4 linked regions of the Oryctolagus cuniculus genome follow. The protein of the gene in region 1 interacts with the protein of each later gene in a pairwise test. Links are inferred from orthologs where the notes say so. Each region holds a gene or a part of one and is shown on either strand. Other genes may lie near its edges.

The links. The genes of interacting proteins can lie anywhere in the genome.
Region 2: the proteins of MYOG (region 1) and FTL interact in binary tests that used the Homo sapiens proteins (3 or more experiments, as listed by UniProt). The two-hybrid records come from large-scale screens. The link is inferred for Oryctolagus cuniculus from reciprocal best matches to the Homo sapiens genes MYOG and FTL.
Region 3: the proteins of MYOG (region 1) and POLR2C interact in a two-hybrid assay, tested with the Homo sapiens proteins (2 studies listed by BioGRID and IntAct). The link is inferred for Oryctolagus cuniculus from reciprocal best matches to the Homo sapiens genes MYOG and POLR2C.
Region 4: the proteins of MYOG (region 1) and EIF4E2 interact in binary tests that used the Homo sapiens proteins (3 or more experiments, as listed by UniProt). The two-hybrid records come from large-scale screens. The link is inferred for Oryctolagus cuniculus from reciprocal best matches to the Homo sapiens genes MYOG and EIF4E2.

The regions. Positions count from the first base shown.
Region 1 is NC_091444.1:18,827,607-18,834,041, reverse strand, and holds MYOG (myogenin), read left to right. Parts: upstream 1-2,515; 5' UTR 2,516-2,671; coding exon 2,672-3,217; intron 3,218-3,819; coding exon of another isoform or gene 3,820-3,822; coding exon 3,823-3,904; intron 3,905-3,978; exon of another isoform or gene 3,979-4,148; intron 4,149-4,399; coding exon 4,400-4,521; 3' UTR 4,522-5,271; downstream 5,272-6,435. UniProt on the Homo sapiens protein: Acts as a transcriptional activator that promotes transcription of muscle-specific target genes and plays a role in muscle differentiation, cell cycle exit and muscle atrophy.
Region 2 is NC_091449.1:8,286,658-8,291,253, reverse strand, and holds FTL (ferritin light chain), read left to right. Parts: upstream 1-1,542; 5' UTR 1,543-1,643; coding exon 1,644-1,745; intron 1,746-1,881; coding exon 1,882-2,028; intron 2,029-2,347; coding exon 2,348-2,473; intron 2,474-2,568; coding exon 2,569-2,721; 3' UTR 2,722-2,849; downstream 2,850-4,596.
Region 3 is NC_091449.1:41,014,707-41,020,138, forward strand, and holds the start of POLR2C (DNA-directed RNA polymerase II subunit RPB3), read left to right. Parts: upstream 1-1,385; 5' UTR 1,386-1,475; coding exon 1,476-1,561; intron 1,562-1,724; coding exon 1,725-1,774; intron 1,775-3,412; coding exon 3,413-3,481; intron 3,482-3,619; coding exon 3,620-3,672; intron 3,673-4,146; coding exon 4,147-4,275; intron 4,276-4,624; coding exon 4,625-4,676; intron 4,677-4,852; coding exon 4,853-5,021; intron 5,022-5,118; coding exon 5,119-5,193; intron 5,194-5,432. UniProt on the Homo sapiens protein: Core component of RNA polymerase II (Pol II), a DNA-dependent RNA polymerase which synthesizes mRNA precursors and many functional non-coding RNAs using the four ribonucleoside triphosphates as substrates.
Region 4 is NC_091434.1:6,907,504-6,912,292, reverse strand, and holds part of EIF4E2 (eukaryotic translation initiation factor 4E type 2), read left to right. Parts: intron 1-3,031; coding exon 3,032-3,146; intron 3,147-4,789. UniProt on the Homo sapiens protein: Recognizes and binds the 7-methylguanosine-containing mRNA cap during an early step in the initiation. Acts as a repressor of translation initiation.

The DNA.
Region 1 (6,435 bases):
CTGAACACAGTGGGCATGGGCCCCCCACTGAGGTTTGCAAGAGCAGAGTGTCCGTTATGTGTGGTCCTGTGGGACACGCAGGGCCCGTGACATGCTCCCTGGCCACCTCGCTCAGGCCAACATGGGCACATCTGCACACAAGGACTCGCAGAGACCCGGACACATGAGGTCACCCTGACCCCCAGCCGTGCCCCCTCAGACATGGGTGGGGATACAGCCTGGGGCGGACAGAGGTTGTGGGTGTCCCCTGCTCTCGCCCGGTTTGCTCCCAGCCAGGACCCAGAAGGTTCTTGCTCAGGAAGTCTGTGTCTGCGGAGAGGAAGCAGCGAGTGGACCGATCCCGGCTTTTACCGCGGACACTGTCTCCCTCGGGAAGACGGCTTCACACACGCACCTGCCTTCTCCAACTGTGCGCCCGCTGAAGGCGGAGGGATCACGCCTCACCCTCGCCAGGGGCCCCGCGGCTGGCACATGGCGCCCAATGCTTGTTTCTTCATTGAAGGAAGGGAGGGAGGGAGGAACTCTGGGTTCTCCCTCTTCCTCCCCTGCTTTTGTGGGCCTGGAAGCCATGAGGACAGCCTGGGGGAGGACAAGGGGGCTAAGGGTGGGACCCAGGAGTGAGAAAACAAAGCAAGAGGGACTCAGACTCATTGGGAGCTTCTGTGCCAGGTGCCCGTCATTTACAAAGCAACCATGCACCATCACCCTGCACACGTGCACACACTCACATGTGCAAATGCACACACACTGGGCAGGCTCTTCCTTTCTCCTGGTTTCGTGGGGAGTATACGGGAAATCAGGCTCCTTTTTTTTTTTTTTTTTTTTTTTTTGACAGGCAGAGTGGACAGTGAGAGGTGAGAGAGTCTTCCTTTGCCGTTGGTTCACCCTCCAATGGCCGCCGCGGCCAAAGGCAGGAGCCAGGTACTTATCCTGGTCTCCCATGGGGTGCAGGGCCCAAGCACTTGGGCCATCCTCCACTGCACTCCCTGGCCACAGCAGAGAGCTGGCCTGGAAGAGGGGCAACCGGGACAGAATCTGGCGCCCCGACCGGGACTAGAACCCGGTGTGCCGGTGCCGCAAGGCGGAGGATTAGCTTAGTGAGCCGCGGCGCCAGCCCAGGCTCCTTCTTGAAGCCACAGCAGGGACTGGAGCCCACGGCAGCCGCGTGCCACTTCCTATCACACTGGCAAGACCTCACCGCCCCTGAACACGTGCGGCTGGGTCACCGTCTCACCTCGCCTCGCCAGCCTCTTCCTGGCTCCTCTGAGGACGGCAGGAAGAAAGAGCCAGGCCTCCAACTCCATACAGATCCCACCTCCCCAACCCCCAGTGCCCACTGCTTTCTCTTCTGTCCTGGGCGTGGGTTTAAACTTGAAGTGGGTGTCTCATCTGTCACAAGACAGGGGTAGCGGGATGGATCAGCCTCACTCACGGGGGCCTGGGGAGAAACCCGGGATCAGAGTCAAAGACAGGAGGCAGGCTACCACTCAGAGCCACGCGGGGTGCCACGGCTGTTCTGTGATGTCAGCAGAAGTCGGACAAGGGCCACCTGGAAAGGGGATTTGGGCACTGGGGTTGGGTCAAGTGAGGTGTACCGGCTGGTAAGGTGGGAGGGGGTAAGGTGGGGGGTCCCTCCAACCCCAACCCTAGGGCTGAGGCTTGTTCACTGTAGGTGCCCCAGGTCTGCCCACTGCACCAGGAGAAACCGACCCTCCAGAGCCAGAGGCATCCGTGGGCTGAGACACCAGAGCCTCAGAGCCTCCCCTGCACCTGCCATCTGAGACCTGAGATTGATGGCTCAGACAGGAGGGGGCCGCAGAACCCGGCCCGCCGGCCAGGGGAAGTGGGTGTGCAGTGGGGTTTGCGGGGCTCTGCTCGCTCCTCTTTTGCTCCCCCACCCACAGTGGGGGCCCAGCAGGGTTCTGGTGTCTGAAAGAGGGCAGAAAACAGTTGAACACGCAGAGACGGGTCCAGAGGTCGAGGGTGAGGAGAGGGAGGCCACACCACTGCGGGAAGCTGGCGACGTGGGGGCTGTGAGTTCTAATCCCTGCTTGGACCCTGACCCCTGCCCCAAACCCAGGAAGTCTCCCTTGCCTCGGCCCACCCCCAGCCACGTGTACCCGAGGATTTCAAAGCCACTTTGGAAGCCCAGAAGTTGAGCCTTCTGCCCCTCTGCGTGGGTCCTTCCTATCCCTGGACAGGAGTCCCCACCACGCCCAACCTCTGGGGTCGTCTCTCCAGGGGCTCCTTCTACCCACACGGGGGCCCAGGGGCTGTCAGCACACGGGGAGGTGGGTGAGCTACTCTTCCCCACCCCCTCCTCCCCTGGCACCCAAGGGCTTCTCCGCGACCAGCAAGGAGGCGCAGGCGGGCCGCCCAGCCAGGAATAATTGAAAGGAGCAGATGAGAGGGGGATGTGCCTGCCCCACAGGGGCTGCCGAGAAATGAAAACTAATCAAATTACACCCGACGGCCTCCCGACCCGTGCACAGGAGCCGGCAGGCCAGGGGCAGGCGGCCCGGGCGGGGTGGGGGCCATGGGGGAGAGGGAAGGGGACGCACATCTAAGCCCCTGAATACGTCTTGATGCGCAGCAACAGCTTAGAGGGGCTCAGGTTTCCGCGGCGTTGGCTATATTTATCTCTGGTTCCATGCCAGCGGGGAGGGTTTAAATGGCACCCAGCAGTTGGCGTGAGGGGCTGCAGGAGCTTGGGGGCTGGTGGCAGGAACCGGTCTCTTCCGACCCCATGGAGCTCTATGAGACGTCTCCCTACTTCTACCAGGAGCCCCGCTTCTACGACGGGGAGAACTACCTGCCCGTCCACCTCCAGGGCTTCGAGCCGCCGGGCTACGAGCGGACTGAGCTCAGCCTGAGCCCGGAGGCCCGGGGGCCCCTGGAAGACAAGGGGCTGGGGACCCCCGAGCACTGCCCGGGCCAATGCCTGCCGTGGGCGTGCAAGGTGTGTAAGAGGAAGTCAGTGTCTGTGGACCGGAGGCGGGCAGCCACGCTCAGGGAGAAGCGCAGGCTCAAGAAAGTGAACGAGGCCTTCGAGGCCCTGAAGAGGAGCACCCTGCTCAACCCCAACCAGCGGCTGCCCAAGGTGGAGATCCTGCGCAGCGCCATCCAGTACATCGAGCGCCTGCAGGCGCTGCTCAGCTCGCTCAACCAGGAGGAGCGAGACCTGCGCTACCGGGGCGGTGCCGGGCCCCAGCCAGGGGTAAGCCGGCAGCCAGGGGACCCCCACAGGGGGAGGGGGAGGGGCAGGTGCCAGGTGGCGTCTCCGGGGCCCTCATCAGAGCTGGGCTGTCCAGCCGACCTCCTGTGCCCCCAGGAGTTGGGCGAGAGATGCGGGTGGGGTGGGGGCAGCGTGGCGAGGGTCCCTGGAGCAAGCGCACAGTCAGCTCGGGGATCAGCAAGGTCCGATCCGAAGGCTGGCACCAGATCCTAAAGGGCCAAGCCAAGCACAGCAGAGAGGATGGGCAGGGCCCGCACCCCACCCCATCCCGAGGGGCAGCAGGCCTGTGGCAGGGGCGACCCTGGTGGGGCCGGACACTCTGCCTCAGTCACCAGACCAGAGCGTCCTGCCAGCTGGTGTCCTGGGAGGGCCACATCACCTCCCCGGATGGCAGCAGCCAGGCCCCTGTGGGTGGGAGGGGCACTGGCTGTTAGGAATATCTGGCAGGGGTGGCCTGCGCCGGAGGTGGGCCAACCTGGGGTCCACCCTCTGTCCCCACCACAGACGCTTCCGCCCACTGTGACTAGCACAGACACACATCCGCGGGTGGCTGTGCCCTGACCTTGGGCCCTCGCCCTGTCTAGCAGGTGCCCAGCGAATGCAGCTCCCACAGCGCCTCCTGCAGCCCGGAGTGGGGCAACGCGCTGGAGTTCGGTCCCAACCCAGGAGGTAAGTGAGGCCTGACCTGGCAGCAATCCTGGCTCGGTCCCCGAGTCCCTTCCTGGGCCAGGTTCTCCCCTTACCTGATTCCTTGTTCCTGTTGCCTTCCTGCGGCTTCTCCGGGGATCCAGATGGTGGGCTGGGAGGGCCTGGGGTCCCTGCAGCTTCACCGAGCCAAAGAGTGGCCTCCTGCAGCTCCCCAGCTGGGGCCTGGCGCTGACCTCAGCAGAGAACGCCCCGGCCCCAGGGGTCCCTGGGAAGTGCTGAGTCAGTGCTGCAACACTGGCCCAGCAAAGGGCAGCTCCAGGCCCCAAGGAGACACCACGCTGGCTCCTCTAAGGAGTAGCTGCTTCCGGATCCTGGACCCTCCACCACCCAACACACACACACACACACACACACACATGGCTTTGGGAGAGACGAGGGCCAGGACGTGGGGCTCAGCTGCCTTCTGCCCTGGAGACCCCCTCCTTGCCCAGGTAACACCGCCCAACCCCCTTGCAGACCATATGCTTGCAGCCGACCCTACAGACGCCCACAACCTGCACTCCCTCACCTCCATCGTGGACAGCATCGCCGTGGAGGACGTATCTGTGGCCTTCCCCGATGAAACCATGCCCAACTGAGACGCTCTGCCGGGCCGGGTGTCGGCGCCAGCCCCCCAGCTGGACGCAGACGCCAGCGCTTCTGCAGCAGGGGCCTCCTGAGCCAGGCTGTCCTGATGCCAGGGAGCCAGTCCTGGGCTTGCCGCCGGCAGGCCACCCCTCCGCATCCCCGTAAGGCTCACGCGCCGCCCAGCAAGGGAAGGGAGGTCCTCCTCTAGCTGAGTCCTTGGGGCCCAGGATGTCCCCTTTCCAGGGAGACAAAGCAGGGGACCAGAGCGCCCCCTTGTGTATGCCCCCAGCTCAGGGGCAAACTCAGGAGCCTCCTTTTATCAACACACAGCCTCTAATTCCACCCCACCCCACCCACCCCGACCAGCCACGCTGCCTCCTGTTCCGGTCTCTTCCTGCCGCCAGTGGCTGGGCTGGGCCCGCCCTGAGCTGCGGGAGCAGCGGGGAGGTTCAACCCTCTGCCCCCAGGTCCCCGGGGCCGAGCTCTGGCGGTGAAGACGGGAACGCCCCAGTGGTTTTATGTTTTCTGTTGTGTTGCGTGTGTTGTTGTAAAGCTGCCATCCGACCAAGGCCTCCTGGGCTGACATGAAGCTGCCGGGCACAGGCGGGGTCGGGCACGCGGCTCTTGGGTGATTTTGTTTGTGAACTAAGCAGTGTGTGGTTTTGCTGTTGTTTTGTATTTTTCTTTTTTTCTTTCTCTTTTTGCTAACTTATTTTGGATTTCCTTTTTTAAAAAATGAAATAAAGACTGGTTGCTAGAAAGGCGTCCATGATGATGTCGTGGGAAGCGGGCAGGGAGGAGAGGAGGGCCCCGCCCCTTCCCACCCCACCCTGCAGATGCTGGAGGGGCTTCCACAGATGGCCGTGGGTGGGGGCCCAGAGGCACCGCCTCACTGTCTTGCTGGCCGCCACTGGACACCGGGGACTCCTGCCCTTTTGCCATGTTGTACCTAAGCGAGTGTAAACCAAGGAGCACCACACATTGATAAAATTTGATGGTCCTTTATTGGCGGCGGCGGAGAGTGGGCTCATGCCCAGAAGAACTCTCGACCCTGAAGCCCAAAGCAACAGGGTTTATAAAGGCAAAAACCACAAAATCAGGAGGGGAATACATGGTTGCTAGGATCGGGGGGAATACATGGTTACCAGGGTCAAGCTGACCTAAAACCTATGAGAAACTAGTATCAAGTATAATATTGACAATACCAGTTACAATCTTAACAATTTTAATTATAATCGACATTAATCCAGGTATTGGTTTTAATCACATGTAGGACATAGACACATTACATTTTTTTCATTAACCCAAGTGCAGCCTATCCACTCCCAAGCTTGAGTGATCACGCTAGGGGGTCTCTATGCTCTGCCATGAGTGATGTAGTGGACTGCTATTGTCCAACTGTTCTAGATCACAGTTTCAGACCAGAGTCTCATGGGGTGGGGGGCACCTTCCCAGAATGGAGTCTCAGGTTCTCCAAAATGGAGTCCGTACTGTCAAGGTGCTACTTCAGCCATGACAACCGCCGGGGGGCGCTGGTGCCTAGGCTGGGTGAAGACAATTCCAGAGGGAACCTGCAGAGCTCTCAACTGCACCCTAATTCACAGGTGTGCTCACCTGCCCACCTCCTTGCAGCTGCCCTGGCTGCGTGCTCCGTGCCCTGTGCTGCCTACCGCCAGGGGGTGCACAGCTGGGGAGGGTGGGGCTCCTCTCCCCCGGGGACACAGCCCCAGTGCAAGGAAAGAGGAGGCGTTTAAATCAGCCACTGTCTTTTCCTTGCAGGCCAGAGAATGTGTTCATGTGCTCAGCAGTCCTGCTGCTCCCTGCAGGCAGAAGGGGTTCTGGTCCCCACCCAGGGTGCAGAGCGCGATGGAGACTGTACTGGCGGAGAGGGAGGGGGTGAGCAGAACCAACAAAGGAAGGGACGC
Region 2 (4,596 bases), on another chromosome or scaffold:
CCGCCCTGGGGGAGCGCGCGGCCTTGGGTCTGGTCCCAAGGGTCTTAAGCAGTCAGCAGCTCCAAGGCCGACGCTGGCCACTGCCCCTTCCCCTCCCCCCGCGGAGTCAGCATGACTCAGCACATCCCGGCCTGGTCACCCGCCTAGGCCGAGGGCCCCAGATACTGCTTGGGCCCAGCACCTGGGGGTCGCCTTGGCCAGGAGCTGTAGCGCCCAGGTCCTGACCCTGCACCCCGCGCCTGGGGCCTCGGCTCCCCAGGCCTGCCTCCAGGGGCCACTTAAGTGGGGTCCAGGTCCTGCCTTGGCTCCTCCTCCCCCGAGGTCAGGGCGCTGGTTTGAGCCCCTGACTCCCAGACCCACATGCATCTGGTGCGTTTAAAAAAAATGCACGTTCCGGGGAGACAGGCACCCCGCCCCTGTGTCCCCGACCTCTGTCCCTCGGCCGCCCAAGGCGTCTCCTGGACACGCAGAAGCAGCAGGTGGCAGGCCAGACACGGGGCCTCTGTAGAGAGACTGCTCCGGGGCCACGGGAGACCCCAAGTCTCTGGGTTACCGCCATAACAGCCCCCCCAGGAAACGCAACCCCAGGGAGACCCCAGCACCCGGGGGGTTTCACTCTCCCCATCTCACTTCCCAGGAACGCTGGGCGCCGACGGACTCCAAGGCATCCGAGGAGCCCAGGCTTCTGTGCGCCTTAAGGGGCCGGGCCCCTCTTACAATCGTCCCTTCCCCCCGCGCCCCAATAGACTTCCAGGACCCCTCCCCGCCACTTCGACCCCAGGCTCCACACGCCCCAGCATCAATGACCACCTGGAGCGCCTAAAGGCCTCCCGGGGAGGACTTAAATGTGGATGCCCATGGTGTCCCCACCTCCTCCTAACCCCCAGGCCTCAGGGCAGGAGCCCCCTCCTCCCAGAGATCCGCAGGGCTCGCTTACAGCCACCTCCACAGCCCTCCACAGCCCTCCTGCTCGGGGAGACCCCTCAGCTCACAGCACAAACCCCTGGCAGCCTGCAGGTCCTCTCCGCGCTCTGAGGCACGACCCCCCCCCCCCGGGTTCCAGAAAGTTCCATGCTCTCAGAAACGGCCACAGACCCCTGCTTTCCTGAGGTAGCCCCAGGACCACAGGGTCATCACTCCCCAGGGGCTCCCCGGGCACCCACCAACCTCTCACCTCCCGGAGAGACCCTCAGAAGCCCTCGACTTCCCCGAACCAGCCACAGAACCCCCACCCCCATTCTCCATTTCACAACAGGCTCGCGCAACAGGCGCGTGACTTCCCCACCTCAGGGTGGGGACGGAGACCCCCTTTCTGCGCCTGATTGGTCAGAAGCCGCCCGGAGGCCCTGCCTCCCCCAAACGCCAATTGGCCGAGCCCTCGCCCTCCGAGCCCCGCCCCCGAGGGCCAGCAGAGTATAAAAGCCGCCGCCCAAGCAGCCGCCCGAAGCTACGCGTCGGGAGACCCGCGGACCTGTGTCTTGCTTCAACAGTGTTTGAACGGAACAGGCCCGGGGACTCTCTCACAGGCTTCGACCGCCCTCCGACCTCCTCTCCAGTCAGAAGCTCCGGGACCACCTCTCGGCCACCTCCTGCTCCTGGGACCAGCCCACCGCGGTTCTGTGGTCATCTCACCGCCGCCAACCATGACCTCCCAGATCCGTCAGAATTACTCCCCCGAGGTGGAGGCTGCCGTCAACCACCTGGTCAATCTGCATCTGCGGGCCTCCTACACCTACCTCTCTCTGGTGAGGGTCCGCGGGACGCCCCCGACCCGAGTTGCACACAACTGCGCGTGCGCGGGCCCGCTTTGTCCCGCGGCGGCGCCGGGGGCGGAGCCCGCACGCCTCCCGCCAACGGTTTTCCTTTCGCGTCTTCCCGCAGGGCTTCTATTTCGACCGCGACGATGTGGCTCTGGAGGGCGTGAGCCACTTCTTCCGCGAGTTGGCGGAGGAGAAGCGCGAGGCCGCCGAGCGGCTCCTGAAGATGCAAAACCAGCGCGGAGGCCGCGCCCTCTTCCAGGACGTGCAGGTACCTGGTGTGCGGCCCGCGGACTACATCTCCCGGCGGGCTGCGCGCGCCGAGACCGGAGCCCGAGCGCCGGCTGGGTGTCGCGCGGCCTTCTGGGAGATTGAGTTCAGTCGTGAGCGAGTCGTTAAGGTTGGAAAAGGAGGTGAACCCTGAGGGCCCCGCGGTCCGGGCCGCTGCGTGGTCTCCTGAGGCGACTCTTGTAGGAGGGTGGGGGTAGTAAGTACAAGCCCGCCCACCTCTTTTGAGCGTCCCCGGCCCCCGACGGCTGCTGGGAAAGTGGAGTTTGGGCCCAGTGCTGAGCCCCTCGTCCTTTGTGCAGAAGCCGTCCCAGGATGAGTGGGGCAAGACCCTCAACGCCATGGAAGCCGCCTTGGCCCTGGAGAAGAACCTGAACCAGGCGCTCCTGGACCTTCATGCCTTGGGATCCGCCCACACGGACCCTCACGTAAGTGCCCCCGCCACCGCGCCTTTGATTGGGCTGATTTCCCTTGTGAGCCTTCCTCCTCCGTGCGCCGTCTGATCTCCCCTTCTCTCCGTCAGCTCTGTGACTTCCTGGAGAACCACTTCCTGGACGAGGAGGTGAAGCTCCTGAAGAAGATGGGCGACCACCTGACCAACATCCGCCGCCTGAGCGGCCCCCAGGCCTCGCTGGGCGAGTATCTCTTCGAGAGGCTCACGCTCAAGCACGACTAGGGGCGCCCGGAGCCAGCGGCGCCGCGCGTCTGCCCGCGCTCTCCTGCCAGCCGCCAGGCAGCTTGTTCACAGCCCTGAACCCTCTCCCAAACCTGGGACCAAACGGAAATAAAGTTTCTTGCTGCAGCATGGGGTTGTGGTGTGCATTACGGTGGAGGCGGCGGAACGGACCTTCAGGGCTCCACGGAGTGGGCTGGCAGGGGAGAGGTCCGCCAGGCCGGCTGGCCGTTAACTGCCCTGCCCAGCGGGTCGGGCCAGGTTCAGGGAGGGCTGGCAGCAAGGCCCTGTTCGGCCTCAGCAGCCTGGGCGGTGATGGGGTCAGGCAGCGGGCCAAGCTCTGAAAGGCAGGTAAACAATGAGTGACCCTTCACCACGGGCAGCCCAGAGCGGCCGGCCAAGGCTGCTGCTCCTTGCGCCCGCGCCGGGGTAACTCCGGTGCAGGGCACGTACCGAGAAGACAGGTCAGGAGGAGCAGGGGCGCGTGATGCTGTTGGGGTTCAGCACAGGAACCAGACGTGCGACCCGGGCCCAGAGTCTCCAAAGGGGAACTGAAGCAGCTTACGCGGGTTTCTAGAAGCGTCTGCTGGGTCAGCTCTGACCCCTGTTCCCTTTGCGGGAGCAGAGGAAGTGAACCGGGAGCTGGAGGCCTGCTCAGCGCCACGCCCCTCCCGGCAGGGCTCCCAGGGAGAAGGGGGCTTCTGTGTGTCTCACACATGCGCACACGCACGCGGGCCAAGGGGAAGGATGACGACACATCCCAACACAGCCAGCTCTCTGAGTCCCCGAGTAGCAGCTGCCTCTGAGCTGCACACCCGGCCTAGTGAAGATGAGAAATCAAAGGGAGAAACAGAGCCACGCAGGGGACAGCCAACCCGGGAGACGGCGCCCCCACCTGCGGCAGGACAGCCGGGCTGGGTCGTGGTAGGGGGAACGGCTGCCCGCCAGCGCTCGCTCCCAGTCACAGCCGCTCCTGCCAAAGTTTGCAAATCAAGCACCGGTTAGGCAGAAGGGCCTTCGGTGAAGTCCCCGGGGAGGCAGGGTGAGATGAGGGAGCAGGACAAGGCCTAAGGCCGTGCGGGTGGAGGCCCCAGCCTGAATCGGACCACACCTGGGATTCTTAAATAGATGTATTTTCTCATCTCTGGATGCACGCCAATCCCACTCCTGCCCCCTGCAAACCAAGTAGAGCAGCAGACACGGCACAGCACACGTGAGGGCCCTCCCTTGCTCCGAAGCTTGGGGGCGGGAGGGCCTCGAGGTAAACGTGAATGTTCTAGAACCCAGTGGGCTCAGTTCTGATCAGGAGAAAGGGGCCTGGACGCGCACAGTGGTGAGGCTCCAGGTTCAACAGCCAGCCCCGGAGCCCAGTGGTTTCAAGGCGGCTGAGACGGGAGGCGGTGGGGACGGAGGCGGGGAGACCGTCAGCTCTGGCCCCAGCACGGCGATTCCCTGGAAGGCACCAGGAGTCTGTCTCCAGCTAGGAAGGAGGCTGGGGTCTAGTCTGGGAAAGGCCAGGCCGGCACAGAAGTGTCCACACAGGCTGTATGGCTCGCCAAAAGGAATGAGGAGCCAAGGGGTTCGGCCACCCCTGGCTTGGCCAGAGTTGGGACCACAGGAGTGTATCTGGGGGGGTGCTCCAGCAGAACTGAGCACCCCAGGAAGAACGCGAGAGGAGCCGTCCCGGAGCCTGTGTTCAGACGGACGGCCGTCCGCACTCAGCTGTCTCGGGTCCCTGAAGGTGACTTGTCCCGTCAGCAGGGACGCCGTGTGGCTCCCAGCGCTGGCAGTGCCACCCTGTCTGCTGCAGGACGGACGAGCCGGGAGCACCCGGGGGACCTCAGCCCGGAAGGCAATGGCCACTGGCATCACCCAGGA
Region 3 (5,432 bases), on another chromosome or scaffold:
GCTTGTGATGGGAGAAATGAGACTCCCCGGGCGCTCAGCCAGCACGTCCCTGCATGGTCTCACGGGCTCCCTTGTGTCATAACCTTCCTTGAAACGGTTTTGGGGGCTGCTAAGGCTGAGTCAAGGCTGGTATCCACCGGATGGTGGCAGCTCACTGCCAGCACGCTGCAGGCATCCTGAGATGTTCCCGGGGACCCCTCAGAGAGCTGCCTCCCCAGAGACAGGTGCCTGCTGGACACTGAGAGGCGTGGCCCAGGCCTGGTGTCGCATCACTCCAGCACGCACTGCGGGATTGTTAGTGTATTCAGAACCTGTAAAAATTATAATAAATGTTTGAGGCTGCTTCCTTTTATGTAGTTTGTTTCCATATAGACTGTGATAGATGTCCCCAGCGGGAGTTCTGGCCCTGGCTCTGCCTAATACATGCTGGGGGGTTGGACAACTCTGCCTCTGAACCAGGTCTTCCCATCAGTAAAATGGGGGCAGTGGGGCCTTCCCCAGACACCTTGCTCCCTTGGCCCCTCTTGTCTGTCACCATTTTAGTGATAGGTTCGTCAGTGTCAGTAATCTCAGCCTGTGCACCACCTGGGCTCCCTTGCACATCTGCTTTGCTCTGGCCCACGTCTGCCAAATACTGATAGAGGAGTCAGAAGTGGACGCATTTCAGATCCCTGTGGGCCTTCCCCGGGCCCCGCGCCTCTCTGGTTACTCCCTGATACCTGTGAGGCTCCTGCAGCAGCTACCCACGTTTCATCGCATTCATCACATCCATGTTACACTCAGGAGATGACCGTAATTCTTAACCTACTGAGATGACAGGCAGGCAAGAACCGCCTCCTGCCCTTCCTGTGTCTCAGGAAGAGGTGCGCCTGCTGCTAAGGTGAACCCCTTCCTGGGTACTCTACTGCAGCCACATTCCATTTTAGGGTCTCTAGAGCCTTTTACGGAAGTGTCCACAAGTGCGCGACCCGGACTTGAGGGTGGAAGGGAAGGACATACACCATCATTGAGAGATGCTTTGCTGAAAGTTGCCACGCATTGTTTCCCATGGGTGTTCAAATTCACATCATCCTCAAAGGCCTCATGGTATGCCTATATGTATCTATTTAACCAGGTCTCTATGCATAGACCAGTCTTGTTTACCTTTTGCTATTACAGTACTGTCTTGAATGTCCCTGTAGCTTTGTTTACAACTGCAAACATCTTGGCAGAATGAATTTTTAGACGTATTATTGTTGATTCAAGGGCATATGCAGGTCTTGCCAAGTTACCTTGCAAGTTGGGTGAGACTGGTGGTGGGGTGGGGAGTAGAAAATGCGGGCCATGGTGCAGCCGCAGCCTCCCAGCGGCAGGGGGCGCTGCTCGCGCGTCTCGGCGGAAGCTGCGGGGGCCGCGCTGTCCGGCTTCCGGTGACAGAGCCGCGCAGGCGCGACGGGGGCGACGCGAGGGGCCGGCTAGGAGGCCTCAGGGGCGCGATGCCGTACGCTAATCAGCCCACGGTGCGCATCACCGAGCTCACTGACGAGAACGTCAAGTTCATCATCGAGAATACGGACCTGGCGTAAGGCTGCTGAGGGGAGAGGCTGGCGGCCCTGCCGAGCCGGCCCGAAGGGTGGGGGTGCCCTCCCACGGCGGCCACCGTGCCAGGGCTTTAGCTTTGGGAGCCCGGGGCCGGCCTGTCGGGGCTGCGGCGCCCTCACGCCTCTCGCTTTCTCGTCCTTCAGGGTGGCCAATTCTATCCGGAGGGTCTTCATCGCGGAGGTGCCTATAATAGGTAAGCGAGCCCCGCCGCACCCTACCGGGACCACTGGTTCCCCGGCTTCCCAAGGCCCCACGCACCTGTGCCGCCTCCAGGCCTGGCTTGGGGGTGGAGGTGCCGAGGCTGGGTCGCACCCGGTGCCTCTGGCCCGGCTGCCCCGTTGGCCACTTCGGCCCCCCTGCCGTGTGCCTCGCGGAGCAGCACGGGTTCGGCAGGGGCTGCCCTGGGCTCCGATGCGGTTTCCACGCGCGCGCTCGGTGGAACTTAGGCAAGTCGTGACCCTTCTGTGTGCTGCTGGTTCTCATCGGAGACATTGGACGCTGGTGTTACTCACCAGGCCGACGGCGGGGACCAGTGAGTGAGCGATTCTGATGGATGTGCACGGGGCTCGAGGACCTCGCAGCAGCGGCCCGCAGGGGTGGGAGGGCCTCTGGCCTCTGTGCCCCAGTGTTTTCTGCGTTGACTGTGCTTGTGTAAAATACCAGGGGTGTTTTGTGTCAGCTCAGTGAGTTTGCGTTTGGCAAAAGAGATGTTGTGGCTGCTGCATCAAGTGTTCAGACTCTGAAGGAAGCGGCACACACCAGCTGCTTGCTAAAGCCGCCGCCTCCGCCCCCCGTCGCCTCAGCCCCGCTGGGCCTCGGTGGGCCCCGCTTTTCACATTCTCAGCTCTGCAAATGCGCACCCATGCTGGGCAAACAAAGGCAGCTCAGACCCGGCCTCAAGGAATTCTCCAAGCCTGCGGTGGGGATGAGACACAAATCCGACACTGAGCAAAGCATGACCGCTGTGCTAAGGGGAGTCAGAGCTGGCCTTGTCCGAGCGGGGTTCAGAGGCCGGGGGTGCTCACGGCTCAGTCTGAAGCGCAGGCGGGACTCGGGTTTTAGGCTCGGGGGATTTGGAGCTGCACGAGGAAGGAAAGTGCGGGCCAGGAAGCAGCCGGGGTCCGGGGGTACGTGAAGAGGCAGAGGGGCCTGGGTTGGGGCCTGAGACGACTGGTCCCCTTCTGACCTCTGCTCCCAGCGGCCATGCCCCCCCTGGCAGCTGGGCAGCAGCCCTGTTTGATTTCGGCGTTTGTATGAATGAGTGAGTAAAGTGGGGTTGAAGTCACGTGGGTGTGAGACAGTCCTCACCGTGCTGCCAGCTCGTTGCTGGCAAGGACCGGTTTCTCTGTAAGCTGCCTGGTTCCTGACAGGACGCAGTAACCTGTGTCGGCTGAGTGATGAGGAAATGCTCGTTGGGTGGGCCAGCGTTACATCCTAAGACGCGGTTCCTGCTGTCGGCCTGTTCGTTGTTCGTGAGTTTCCCTCATCGCAGTGGCTGAATCGTTTGTGTTCCTGGCTGTTTGGCACTGGCACAGGTGGCAGATACATTGGCTTCTCACAGAAATCGGCAGCAGGTGTGCCTGCTGCGGTGAGGCGCTCTGAGCCGGCGTTCCCGTGTGGTCCAGGAAGCCCCTGCCTGAACTCCCCCCCGGGCGGGCAGGGGCCGCGGTGCCTGCGTGGTGCCTGAGCCCTGCCCGGTGCTGCTGCAGTCAGTCCCCGGCCGCCCGGCCTGGCCCGGCCCGGGCATTCCTGAATCTTGGCACTCACTGCCCTGAGCTTTGGGGAATTTGGTTGCTGAATGAAGTCTCACCTCCGCCCCTTCTCGTTTTAGCCATTGACTGGGTTCAGATCGATGCCAACTCCTCCGTCCTGCATGACGAGTTCATCGCGCACCGGCTCGGTGAGTGCTGCTCTGGGGGAGGTGAAGGGACGGTGCGGCCGATGCCGCAGGAGGCCTCCCCACCGCGGGGCGCCTGTGGGCTCTCGTTTTGGGCATGGCTGTCTGGCTGCCTTGAAAGCGCGGGTCTGTGTCTTACAGGCTTGATTCCTCTCACGAGCGACGACATCGTGGACAAGTTGCAGAACTCCCGGGTATGCTGCGAGAGTGGCTGTGTGTGGCTCGGGTAGGGGCTTAAGGGCCCACAGGACTTGTCCTTGGCATCTGGCTGCCAGCATGGACTGCGCCGTGGTTGTAGGGAGACGGCGGAGATGTTGTCCAGAGCCCGAGGCAGGTGTCTTTGGGCTTGGTGCTGATGAGGATCCCATTGGTTATGTCCGTCTGGAAGTCTCAGGAGCCAGTCCCACAGAGGGGCAGCCACCAGGGGGCCTGCCTGTGCAGCACAGGGGCTGTTGCTTCCACAGCACCACCACCACCCCTGCCCCGGGGTCGGGGGGCAGAGGCACAGAGGTTGGTGTAGGTGCGGGCAAGGAGCAGAGGGGCTGGGCGCTGTCTCACAAGAGCAGCACCCCCTGCACGCAGGCAGCGGCTCAGGGAGCGGGCCGAGCAGGCAGCTGTGGGGCTTCCCGGCTCTCCGTGGGCTCCTTCCAGCTTCCCTCTCCGCTCAGGACTGCACCTGTGAGGAGTTCTGCCCCGAGTGCTCGGTGGAGTTCACCCTGGACGTGCGGTGTAACGAAGACCAGACTCGCCACGTCACGTCCCGAGACCTCATCTCCAACAGCCCCCGCGTCATCCCGGTCAGTGTCTGGAGCGCCCCCTCCCCCGGGGCTCTGCCGTGGCCGGCTTTGGCGGCCGGAGGGCTCGGGTCCCGGTCTGATGCCTACCAGCCTGGTGCTGGTTTCTGCTCGGGCAGCAGCAGCACTGGGGCTGGCAGCTGCTGGGGTGAGAGAAGCGGCCGCTGATGATGCAGTTTAGGTTTTCTTTGTGTCCGTCACCCAAGGGCCCTCCGAGAGGCCGGGGTCTTGACCACACCATGGAGCAGGCCCCTCCGCCGGCCCCTCTCGCATCCCGCGCTTGCGCAGAGTGCAGTCTGGAGGTGCTGTGGGAGGAGCAGCTGACAATTGCCTGGGTTTGGGCTCCCTACAGGTGACGTCCCGGAATCGAGACAATGACCCCAACGACTACGTGGAGCAGGACGGTAAGGGCTGGAGAGCGTGCGTGCGTCACCTTTGATAGAGCCTCTCCTGCCGCCCGAACTCGTGTAAAGTGGCCGAGGGCCCGTGTTTGCGTCGCGTGTCACCCTCAGCGGCACTGTCGGTCCACGCGGGGAGAGCCACGCTCCTGGCCGGGACTGACTCGCACCTCTCCTCGCAGACATCCTCATCGTCAAGCTGAGAAAGGGCCAGGAGCTGAGACTCCGAGCCTACGCCAAAAAGGGCTTTGGCAAGGAACACGCCAAGTGGAACCCCACCGCGGGGGTTGCTTTCGAGTACGATCCAGACAATGCCCTGAGGCACACGGTGTACCCCAAGCCCGAGGAATGGTATGCTCCAGGGGGAAGGCGGGTGTGCAGAGGGCTGCTGGTGCCGGAGGTGGGGCAGGCGGTCTGGGAACAGCAGCCTCTGCTTCTCTGACCTCAGGCCAAAGAGCGAGTACTCCGAGCTGGATGAGGATGAGTCTCAGGCTCCCTATGACCCCAACGGCAAGCCCGAGAGGTGAGACCTGGTCGCACGGGGGGCGGGGTCTTAGTGCATGGCATCTGCCGCAGGCTCAGTCATCAGCCGAGGGGCCGCTGCTGCTCACCACTGAACTAAAGTAGTGCTGTGTGCACATGCCCTCTGGTTACGAGAAAGGGGCTCTCCACTCACCCAGATGGTTCCCATTCTGATTTCCAGCCCCTAGTGTGCAGACTGTTCAGGTCCAAGCCAATTTACACACATTTACGTACATAGTT
Region 4 (4,789 bases), on another chromosome or scaffold:
TTAGAGAAAAAGAGGGAGAGACAGAAATCTTCCATCCTCTTGTTCACTCCCCAGTGGCTGCGATGGCCGGAGCTGGGCTAATCCAAAGCCAGGAGCCAGGAGCTTCTTCCAGGTCTCCCACGTGGGTGCAGGGGCCCAAGCACTTGGACCCTCCTCCGCGGCTCTCCCGGGAGCATTAGCAGGAACCAGCACAGATGTGGAATGCTGGCGCGGCAGGCGGCAGCTTCACCTGCTGGCCCACTGACAGTATTTTGTATTACTCTCCCTGTTTCCTGATAGCGAGTAGTAGCAGAACCATGAACGAGAGGAGCTGGTACGCTTTTCCTGGGGCTAGAAAAAAGGGGAGGTGCTGAGCCCCTGTTCAACTGCGGGCTGAAGGAGGAAGCCCGGCAGCTGACGAGAGAAGACCGTGGTGGCGTCCCTGGGGTGTGCCCTAGAGAAGAGCCTTGGGAGCCGTCTTGGGCCTGAGCAGTAGAAAGACGCACGAGATGTTCTTGGCACAGAACTGACCGCGAGAAGAGGAAGGGGGAAGTGGGCGGCACCCAGGGCTCTCAGACTCCAGCCTGAAGCAGACAGCGCTCTCAGTTCTTCCCTGAGACGCCCACCTGCTCTGTCAGGTGTGTGCTTTAAACTTGGCCTGCTTACAAACTGGCCGTGACCGCCGTGACCATATAGCCAGGACAAGTGCAGACGTTGCTGTGGGACGTCCAGAAGAGGCGAGCCTGACTTAGCCTAACCTGGGAGGCCTTCAGAAGTGTTCAAAAGAGATGGCCTCGGGCTGCGTGCTGAAGGCCAAGGTAACTAGAGGGAGAAGGGCTTCTTGGAGAGACCGCGTGATGGACGTGGAGGGGTGAGTTTGGGGAACTGCGATTGCGTTGATGCAGCTGGACTACAAGGAGCTACTGGGACCAGGCAGGAGGTGAAGTTGAGAGGACGGGACAGAGCAGGGCTGCACCAGGCTGAGGCACACCTGGGTCTGCTCACCTGGGTCCCTGGGGACGTGACTTGGGTAGCTGATAGACAGTAGATGCTTGGTACGTAGTGGTCGTTTTTACTCTGTGTAGCTCTCTGTGGGCGGACTCTCTTTTGAAGAGGAAACCGAACCAACTCCTAAGTTTACTAAAGGGAGAGGGTGTATGTGAGTGCAGATAATGGTCTCCCAGCAGTGCAGTGAGGCTGACCTGGGCCGGAGCGACGGTAGCAATAGCCGCACAGTCAAACTCCCCTCACCCTTCCTTGGTGCGTCCTGCTGGCTTTCTCTGCTTTTGCTCCTTGTCTGAGTCCCTCATGGCTCTGCCTGAATGGGGTCCATCTGGCTGCTGCAGCTCCTGAATCTGTCATCTCTCCTTGCAGATGAAATGCTGAGCGAGGGATCTACTCATGTTCTTTCTAGCAAGGCCCTGACATAGGTTATTGGCCAGGCTGGAATGCCCTTTAGTCTGGTAACCTTCCTGGCCGCGTCTCGGCCGAGGTGGAAATGGGGCGTGGACACCTGCGTGTGTCCACAGCAAAGACTAAAATGGGCAGAGCGGGTGCCCAAACACATGTCTGTCTCATCCATTCTAATATTTTCCTAAATTTTCATTCATTTAGAGCAGCATGGGGGCAGGCAGGAGGATCGTCTGTCTGCTGGTTCACTCCCCCAAATGCCAGAAGCAGCCAGACCTGGCATAGGCTGAACCAGAAGCCTAGAACTCCCATCAGGTCTCCCATGTGGGGGGCAGGGACCCAAGTACTTGCGGCGTCACCTGCTGCCTTGCTAGGTGCACGTTAGCGGGAATGTGGCTCGGAACGGCGGGGGGGCGGGGCTTGGACCCAGGTGCTCTGATGATGTGGAATGGGTGCTTCATGGGTGCTAGGTGCTTGAGATTCATGGGCAAAAACCGAGCCGCAAATAGAAAATATTCCACAGCATGTTTCTGTATCTGTGTAGCATGTACCTAAGTTATAATTGGGCATTTCTGGTCTCTTTCTTGAGAATTGCCTAATCCCATTTGTCTGTGTATATAATCATGCGTCCAAAAGAGGATTTGGAATAGGACCCATGATGAGTTAGAGGCCCAGCTCGGCAATAAACGACATTCTCCCTGCTCTGTGGCCGCACCTTCCTTTTATTTTCTCTGGATCTGGTGCACTTTAGGTGTACCTGAAAGTCTTGGTTTCACCACTCCTGAGAGGTGGCCCTTACAACAGGTCAGACTCCGTGCTGTGAAGCGAGAACACTCGAATTTGTTGTTTCAGGCATTTATTTTTCCCTTTACTCTGACGCTCACTCGGCATCTTCTTGGCTGTGTGTTAGGGCCGCATCTTCTGGCCCTTACGTGTTGGTCATCCTGAGATGAAGTGAGACACTGCTGCGCGGAACCCTCCATCTAGTGGAGCGAGCGCACTGGCCTCCAGGCTGAGGGGGCGTGTGCGGACGCACCGTGTGGGCGTGCAGGCTGCAGGGCTGGGAGTGTCAGCCAGCCGCACTTGCGTTTCTTTACCTCTGTCCTGAAGGGCAGGCATCAGGGGTGAGAGGCAGCTGAAACAGAGGTAAGGACAGAGGTTAGCCAGATGTGCACTCAGAAGGACCATGCTGGTGATGGTGACGACACAGAGGGTAGAGGGAGCGAAGACTGGGGTGAGGGCATTCACAGAGAAGAGGCCTGAACCTGCGCATGGCAGTGCGGAGGGATGGGGAAAAGGGGCAGTCTGTGGGTAAGTTTCCAGCTTCCATCTGAAATGCCAAAGCAGTGGTCTAGTCAGAAATTCTGCTCATTCCTGGTGCAGAAAGCAACCCCTAGAACTGTTTCCGTTACTCCCTTTAAGCGCTCTTTGTGGCTTGTTAGAACGCAGAGCGCGCTTCCTGGGGGTCACAGCTCATTCTTGTTCCACCTTCCTGGTTTGCCTGCGCACTCCCTTGTCCCTCTCACCTCGCAGGGCTCTCGGGGCTGTACCCTGAGTGAGTTCAGCGTGGCTGCGGTAGCTGGCTTGGTAGGGAAGCAAGAGTCAGCCTAGTTGTGAACGGCGGTGTTTGCTTTCCCTTCAGCCTGAAAGACGATGACAGCGGGGACCACGATCAAAATGAAGAAAACAGCACACAGAAAGATGGTGAGAAGGAAAAAGCCGAGCGCGAGAAGAGCCAGGGCGGCAGCAAGAGGAAGGTGGGTGACGCCGCCAGACGCGGCTTCCTGCGTGCTGCAGGCTGCGTCTGGGAGGGGCAGGTGAACTTAACAGCACCCTGTGTTGGGATACCTGCTTTTGTTCTCATGAAAGGATTGTAGAGGCCTGGGGGCTCATTTTGGGGTTAGGATTTCTTGGTTGACATAGGATCTTAGGTGTCGCCTTCTCCTGGCCTGGGAGTTAACAAGGCCGGTGGCTGCTTCATGGTCCTGCACAGCCCGTGAAAGTTTGACCCCTGCAGTCAGTGATGGTCTATGTTGACATTTCACTTGCAAAAGAGAAAATGCAGAGAATGACAGATGGATCCGTTTTTTTTCCTTGAAATAAAAAATAGTCACTAATTCATTTATTCTGCATTATTGAGTTCCCTCCGAGGGGTAGCATTTTATGCTAGGTGCTGAGAAGACACAAACGTGAATTAGACTGTGGGTCAAGGAACTTTCATTTCTTTTTAATAAGATGTGTTTATTTGAAAGGCAAAGTCGCAGAGAGATGGGGGTAGAAGGGGTGCGTGTCGCTCCCCCTCTTCGTGGAGGAACGACACTAAGCCCTGCCTAGGCTTCATATCCGAGTCACGGCACCATTATGTTGCTCCCCCTCTTCATGGAGGAACGACACAGGACCCTGCGCTGTTCTTTCGTCTGCTCGGCCCTCCCCGGGTTTGCTGCTGGTTCTTCCCAGGTTGGCTGCTGGTCCTTCCCGGGTTGGCTGCTGGTTCTTCCCGGGTTGGCTACTGACCCTTCCACCTCCGTGGAAGGGCGGTTCCCCCTGCCACATTCCCCACTTCCGCGGGGGAGCGGTACACCGCTGGCCGGCTCTCTCGGGGGCTGCACAGGTGTCCCCCTTAGATGTTCCTGGTGCATGTTGTCTCTCTCCTCCTTTATAGTCCTCTTCCACCAATCCCAACTCTGCTACCCACACGCCGAGTACACTGCTCTCCTCCAATCAGGAGCAGGTCCTGCAGCTTGTCAAGTTGGTGAGAGGCAGCTGTGTAGAAGCTGGTTCCTCCTCTCCCAGCGCCATATTGTGGGAGAGCAGATGCATAGAATAAGTCTTAATTCGAGTAACTTAGTCTAGTCCGAGTTGCTCCCAGTTGCTCCCCACAGGTGGGAGAAGAGAGGTCTTCCGTCCACTGGTTCACTCCCCAAATAGTGACAGCAGCCGGGCCTGAGCTAGGCTGGAGCCAGGAGCCAGGAGCCAGGAGCTTCCTCCAGGTCTCCCATGTGGGTACAGGGGCCTAAACACTTGGGCCACCCTCCACCACGTTTTCAGGCCAACAGTGCAGTAGCTGGATCAACAGTGGAGTAGCCAGGACTCACACCGCTACCCGTGTGAGATGCTGGAGCTGCAGGCAGCAGCTTTACCCCCCGTGCCACAGTGCTGCACCGCTTGTTTTTAAAAAAAGATTTATTTTTATTATTTATTTTAAAGACAGAGTTACAGAAAGAGGGAGAGTCAGAGAAAGAGAGATCTTCCATCTGCTGGTTCCCTCCCCAAATGGCCGCAATGCGGGAGCTTCTTCCAGGTCTCCCACGTGGGCTCAGGGACCCAAACACTTGGGCCATCCTCTACTACTTTCCCAAGCACATTAGCAGGGAGCTGGATTGGAAGAGGAGCAGCCAGG